2 linked regions of the Danio rerio genome follow. The protein of the gene in region 2 interacts with the protein of the main gene of each other region in a pairwise test. Links are inferred from orthologs where the notes say so. Each region holds a gene or a part of one and is shown on either strand. Other genes may lie near its edges.

Evidence for each region. The genes of interacting proteins can lie anywhere in the genome.
Region 1: the proteins of blmh (region 2) and nudt12 interact in binary tests that used the Homo sapiens proteins (3 or more experiments, as listed by UniProt). The two-hybrid records come from large-scale screens. The link is inferred for Danio rerio from reciprocal best matches to the Homo sapiens genes BLMH and NUDT12.

What each region holds. Positions count from the first base shown.
Region 1 is NC_133183.1:903,155-906,814, reverse strand, and holds part of nudt12 (NAD-capped RNA hydrolase NUDT12), read right to left. Parts: coding exon 3,572-3,660; intron 390-3,571; coding exon 101-389; intron 1-100. UniProt on the Homo sapiens protein: mRNA decapping enzyme that specifically removes the nicotinamide adenine dinucleotide (NAD) cap from a subset of mRNAs by hydrolyzing the diphosphate linkage to produce nicotinamide mononucleotide (NMN) and 5' monophosphate mRNA.
Region 2 is NC_133190.1:31,140,016-31,143,675, forward strand, and holds part of blmh (bleomycin hydrolase), read right to left. Parts: intron 2,073-3,660; coding exon 1,924-2,072; 3' UTR 1,882-1,923; exon of another isoform or gene 1,794-1,881; intron 1,791-1,793; 3' UTR 1-1,790. UniProt on the Homo sapiens protein: The normal physiological role of BLM hydrolase is unknown, but it catalyzes the inactivation of the antitumor drug BLM (a glycopeptide) by hydrolyzing the carboxamide bond of its B-aminoalaninamide moiety thus protecting normal and malignant cells from BLM toxicity.

The DNA of each region.
Region 1 (3,660 bases), on a different chromosome or scaffold from region 2:
TTTGATAATTTCATTTAGGAGAGATTAAACAATAATAATTCATTAATTTAGAGCCCTATCTAACACACACACACAAACACACACACACACACACACACACCGTGTCCTGAGCTCCGCGGCGCACCAGTGGACACAGGTCATGGAAAACGATGAAGACTGTGTCTGGATCAGCCTGTTTTTCAGAGATCCAGGCTAAATCTGTGCGCTTCTCACTCTTTCTGTCCAGCATCTGCCTGTTGAAGTAGATATCCAGCTCCTGAACACCTCCGCTGGGCAAAAGATCCACATCTGGAGAACCGGACAGCAGACTGGCCACGTGACGGTGACCCCAAAACACGGCCACATCTCTGGCCGTCTGACCTGAGCCATTCTGGGCACTCGTATCACATCTGATGGAGAGGAGAAAACATCAGTTCAGTACTGATTTGATTCAGTTCAGTGATGGTTTTTGTTCAGTTCATTGAAGACTTGATTCAGTTTAATGTTGATTTAATTTAGTTCAGTGTGGAATAGATAAACTTGTCATGTTTTGACTCAATTAATGTTCATTTTATTCAATTCATTGTGGATTTAATTCAGAGCAGTGATGATTTGATTCAGTTCAGTGATGGTTTGATTCAAATCATTGTTGATTAGATTCAGTTCATTGTGGATTTGATTCAGTTTAATGCTGATTTAATTTAGTTCAGTGTGGAATAGATGAACTTGTCATTTTTTTGATTCAATTCAATGGTAATTTTGATCAATTAATTGTGGATTTGATTCAATTCATTGTGAATTTGATTCAGAACAGTGATGATTTGATTCACTTTAATGATAGGCGCGTGGTGATCAATGAGATTAACTGAGCGCAGGAAGGGGCGGAGTTGAAAACAGAGTCGGACACTTTGAGGCTCACAGTTGCAGCAGTCATGACCGATCACATGGCGTTATCATCATTTATTTATTTATAACACCAAAGATTTACAGAACAAATAAAACAGAATACAGTCTCTACAAGCTATAGATCATTTTTAAACAAACGGGTAATTATGAATTAAATATATAACAAACGCATGAGAGAAATAAGGGGAAACGAGAGGGTAATAAACATAAATTCATAGGCCTATTAAATACAAAGCCATAAGCACAAATTCTAAGAGATTAAACATCCCTCTTTAGGCTAATACTGCTTGTTTGAATATGCTAAAAAGGGTTTACATCAGGGGTCATCAACTCTATTTGTCAGAGGGCCAGAGTTTTACCAGACAGTCTCCTTGTGGGCCGGACCCCCAAGAAGAAAATCTAATAAAAATTCTCACTTTGGTTTAACATTATGTTTGATGTTTATAGTTTTTCCATTTCACTACAAACTGAAGGCATTTGATTCAGGCTCCCATCACCTATACCACAGTCAAACACTAGGATTGATAGAAAACTCTCCACAAACGCGGTGAAAATGCTGCTATTAGTCGAGGTGGCCCTTCAGAGCCAGCTGGCTGAAATTTAGGCCGCAGGCGATGTGAAGGCGGCTCTCCATGGTGCTGAAAGCCTGAGCGCATTTTGGGTATCTTGTCCCGAAACCTATGACATGTTGAAAAGTCTGACAGCGGCCAAGCCTGATGTGAAAAAGTTGGCGTCAGAGTGGAAATGTAACTTTAGCCATTGATTAGGCACTGTGAGCAGCCCGTTTCAGCATTGTGATTTGAATTCAAGCCCACTTAACGTTTCATTTGATGTGCAAACATTATTTGTGAGCTGTTTTGTTCTGGTACCAGGTTATTTATTTACCATGCTATTTTAAGTTGTGCCAGATTATTTTTCCTCTCTTTTTGCCAGTTTCATGCATGTTGTTGAGACTTAGAAATAAAAAAACAAATGTTCAGTAAGGGCATGAGGTAAATAATGCGCCCGCTTTTTTTTTTTTCGCTTTTTTTTTCAGTGATGGTTTGTTTCAGTTCAGTGTTGATTTAGTTCAATTCATTGTGGATCTGATTCAGTTTAATGTTGATTTAATTGAGTTCAGTGTAGAATAGATACATTTCAGTCATGTTTTGATTCAGTTCAGTGTTGATTTGGTTCAATTCATTGTGGATCTGATTCAGTTTAATGTTGATTTAATTGAGTTCAGTGTGGAATAGATAAATTTCAGTCATGTTTTTATCCAATTCGTTGTTGATTTGATTCAGATCATCGATGATTTGATTCAGTTTAGTGATGGTTTGATTCAGTTCAGTGTTGATTTAGTTCAATTCATTGTGGATTTGATTCAGTTTAATGTTGATTTAGTTGAGTTCAGTGTGGAATAGATACATTTCAATCATGTTTTGGTTCACTTCAGTGTTGATTTGAATCAGATCAGTGATGGTTTGATTCAGTTTAATGAGGACTTCTGTTTTTGGATGTTGATTTGATTCAGTTTAGTTATGGTTTGATTCAGTTGTGTAATGTTGATTTAATTTAGCTAAACATAGAATTGATTCATTTCAATCATGTTTAGGTTAACTTTAGTGTTGATTTGATTCAGTTCAGTGTTGATTTGATTCAGTTCAGTGATGGTTTGATTCAATTCAGTGTTGATTTGGTTCAATTCATAGTAGATTTGATTCAGTTAAATGTTGATTTAGACTTAGAGACTTAGAAATAAAAAAACAAATGTTCAGTAAGGGCATGAGGTAAATAATGCGCCCGCTTTTGTTTTTTTTTCAGTAATGGTTTGATTCAGTTCAGTGTTGATTTAATTGAGTTCAGTGTGGAATAGATAAATTTCAGTCATGTTTTTATCCAATTCATTGTTGATTTGATTCAGATCAGTGATGATTTGATTCAGTTTAGTGATGGTTTGATTCAGTTTAGTGATGGTTTGATTCAGTTCAGTGTTGATTTAATTCAATTCATTGTGGATTTGATTCAGTTTAATGTTGATTTAGTTGAGTTCAGTGTGGAATAGATACATTTCAATCATGTTTTGGTTCACTTCAGTGTTGATTTCAATCAGATCAGTGATGGTTTGATTCAGTTCATTGTGGATTTGATTCAGTTCAGTGATGGTTTGATTCAATTCAGAGATGATCTGGTTCAATTCATTGTTCATTTGATTCAGTTTAATGTTGATTTAATTGACTTCAGTGTAGAACAGATACATTTCAGTCATGTTTTGATTCAGTTCAGCGTTGATTTGGTTCAATTCATTGTGGATTTGATTCAGTTTAATGATGACTTCTATTTGATGTTGATTTGATTCAGTTGAGTATTGCTGTGATCAGTTTAGTCATGGTTTGATTTAGTTCATTGTTGATTGAATTTTGTGTTGATTTGATTCAATTCATTTAGTTTAGTTCTAAGTTCAATATTTCCATTTTACTTCTGTTTGGAATTAATTCAGTGTTAATTTGATTCAGTTCATTGTGGATTTGATTCAGTTGGAAATGAATAAGTTTTGAAATTTGATTATGAAAAACTACATTTCAGCAATAACAGCAGCTCAATATGAACTTAATTGACTCTGTGATTCTTCAAATGAGTCCAGCTTGATCTCCTGTTCTCCTCTGTCAGACTGATGTTACTCTGTGGATGGCGTTTGGCATCTCACCCGTTCTCCAGCAGGGCCTTGACCACCTCCTGGTGTCCATGTCTGGCAGCCAGCATCAGTGCGCTCCACCCCTTCTCTCCTCTCTGGTT
Region 2 (3,660 bases):
CTTTATCCTCTTTTCCATCTGGGCATAGTCATTCCGAAACCCCTAGAGATTGTGCAATGCACATGTGATGCGATCCAAGACCTGTGAAGAGATAAACCCAAGGTATCCATAATCCTGGACCAGGCTGTATCCTGAGCTGATGCTGTGGTCGTCATGGAGTGCATGAGACCAGCCGCGTTTCCACTATCGCGCCTAAAGTGAGCGAGCCAAGGCCAGTCGCGTTTCCACTGTCACTTCCGAGTGCTAAACAGGTCAACTGGGGCTTCGGGGCAGAGTGAAAGGAGAGGCGGAGTGCAGACACAGTTTTCCGATCGCACACGAGTACATGCGGCAAATATAAATAAATAAGGGAAAGAAAACATCTAGCCTTATTGGCTGGGGTCTTTTTGCGTATGATCGCCCTTATGTTCCCCTTTTAAATGTAAGGCTGTTGCATAAAATAATAAAGTTTTAATTTATAAGTGACTTTTCTTTGCTGCGTCCTCCTTGATGTTTCAATAACGCATAATAATCTTTAGACCATATTAAAGACACAGCAGACAGTAAAGTTTTTCAAGAGTTTTTGTCAAGTTTAAAAGGTGTGCTTGTGCGCGTTTAGATGCCTGTATGCGTGTGTGAGACCGAGGGAAAGAGCACTCCCTTCACAGCTCTGTTGATGCCGCGCAGCTTTTTTCTTTTTGTTATGAGTCTAGTTTCTAGTTTTTTTTCACCTGCACTATTGTCAAATGGTGACGTTTTTTTTCTGAAAAGAAGCCCTTTTAACTTTTTCCCGAACCTCTCGCTGGCCTGCAGATACCCATACTAGTGGATGCTGCTTACTCATTGGCGGTAGGTAATGGGCTATATGCACACAGACTTTTAATTTTCAGCAGGGCAGCCCTATGGCTTCAAGTAAACTGTCTTTCCATTACAAAACTGTCACGTTTAAAATCAGCGATCTTCGCTGCCTGTTAGATATATGATATGATATAAGTGGGTCTCAGATCGGACAGGAAGCCCTGCATTTAATTCCAGTTCCCCCACCATGTCTTTAAAATATGACCCTTTATTTGACCCCAGTATTTTCAATGGAACTTCTGTTGCTACTGACGGCACTAGCGGTTACAACGCTCTTGTATATCTTTTTACGCTTAAACAACTAAATGAATGCTTGAGTCTATTTAACTGAGGATTTTGTAATTACATTACAACATCAGTGCTTTAAAAACAACCTTGTGAAATTGGAAATAGTCACATTAGGCTTTCATCGGAAGTTTATCGTTGGTTTTAAACTCTAGCCGTGCTTAGAGCTTATCAGCGATGTTATTTTCAATCAGTACACATTTTACATGGCATGATTCTGAATCACCAACAGCTCCAGGTATTTAGCATCCCAAATATCTCACGGATATCAGCGAATTATTGGTGATTCTCTCAGATCGTGACTTTAATAGTTCACACTTTGTTACTCACGTGAACAGGCTCTGATTTGCCTGTGATTTCAATCAGTTGTCTGCGATTTCTCAAAAACCTGTTGGCGAGTCAAAATCATGCAGTCTGAACTTAAAGCTGCATCAGAAAATTTCTCTACTATATAATAGGTGAAAAGGTATGTGAAGAAAGTAGCACATCTATTCATAAAACGCAAGATCCCTGGATAACATACCATTTCCGGCGAGATTCTGGTGTACCCAGTGGACTCTTCACTTGAGTATTTAAAGAATGCCACGGACTCCGTTAGGGGACGTTATTACAACCTGTTGGAAACCAGCATGCAAACGCAGCACTGAAATGACTCCACACTCAGACTCCTGTGATAATAAAAAAAGAGGCAAAAAAACTTTATTCTTTTTTTTTTCTAGACCAGGCTTGTTGTGAGAGATGGTGGGAGGGGGTTAAAACCAGCTGAAGGTGGAGTTGAGGAGATCAGACTGGCTCCTGTGGTTACGCCAGGGCTCCCATGGGGTCCCAGGCCGGGAGGACGACGGGGTCCTTCTGCATGACGTCCAGCACTTCAGGAGAGAGAAAACTCTTATCCACCACCACCTCGTACACGTACTCGGAGAACCACTCGTCTGTCATGATCAGATATCCTGCAGGAAGAGATGAGGCAAGGACAGCAGACAGAGATAAATGGCTAAAATGAAAGATGAGCAGAAGAAAGATAGCAAGACGGAGGAGTGGAACGCTGTTTAATTTGCTGCAGCAGAAGCTCTTGGACGAACGTCAGATCGCAATGCACTGTAGGACATCAGCCTACTGATTACTCATATATTCAGGAAAACAAAGATGGCACTGTTGAGAAAAAAATCACATTATATACCCTTTTCACAAGACGACGAGGACATGTTTCAATGGTCATCTGCATCTTAAATCCTTAAAGGTTTCAATAAGCTGAATTTTTTTAATACGCATGTACATTTAATAAGCTATACTTCATCATGCTATACAAAACTGTTAACGCTTTCGGCAAGGTGTTTCTAATGCTGCGTTTATGGACAGTACAGTAAAATTTGACATTAGCTATATTTCCATCCATGCAAATGCAAATTAAATGTATGCGCAAAACTGGAATATCGCATGAAAAGCGAATGCACTTAAAGCAACGTTGCTATTCAATGAGTCGGAGAATAAAATATTCACTTTCTGATAAAATGGCGTCAAAAAAGTAAAAACAAAATTAGTAGCTCAAATATATATGTTAAGGTACAAATATTAAATAAAAAATTCAAGAGCAAAATTCAAGAGAAACCAAAACTGTATTTTTCCCAATATTTTGCATAAATTTAAATGCTTTATGGTTCTATGTCGTTTGGTGACTAAAATATTATTTTAATAAATATATCCGTTTAACAAATCAGTTTTGTTTTCAAAAATATGACCTATATTCACTGAGAAATGGATAAAAATGTTCATTTTTTATAATGTGGTATACTCAGTTATGCTGCACATTGCATGTTAAGGCTAAATAGTTTGATTGTTTCCTATACCAGCAACATTTGAACCATTAAACAATTATAAATGTTTGCTAAAGTGTTGTTAACCTGTCAAGCTATCTTCGTTCGTGTTAAATATAAATGCCTTACAGATTGCTTTTACAAAAAGAATGAGTGGAATGAGTGGAAAACTGGAATATTGTATAAAAGCTGTGCGAATAATGTAGCGTTTTCATTCAACGAGTCAAAGAGAACATAATCGTCACATCCTGATAAACTGGTGCAAAAATCAAAAGTTAAACCGGAATTTGCCGTGTAGGAGAAGCTGCATCAATCTTTTCCTTATTTAATAAATGACTTATGCCTCAGAAGACAATGCAGACACGCAATGAACGCATGGTGGCCTTTAAAGGCATGAAACGTGGAGCTCAGATTCTCTTGACAGTTCTGGAGTTCATTAATATAATAACACTGATACCGAAAAGATTAAGGTGTTTTAGAATGACCAAAACAACATTTCAGGTGTTTTACAGTGTGCTCAGCCTGCTGGTTTGTCCATTCACACACACTTTTATCATCACATGACCTCTTGTAACAAAATCATATGACTTTTCTTTTCAACGCGCTTACCGGAATTTGTTCAGTAAAAGTGTTTCCATCGTAGTTTATGAGCATCTTTTCTTTTTGAATAAAAAGTTTATCCTACTCAGTTATGCGCACATGTTTTTTATGCGCAGTTTTAAAA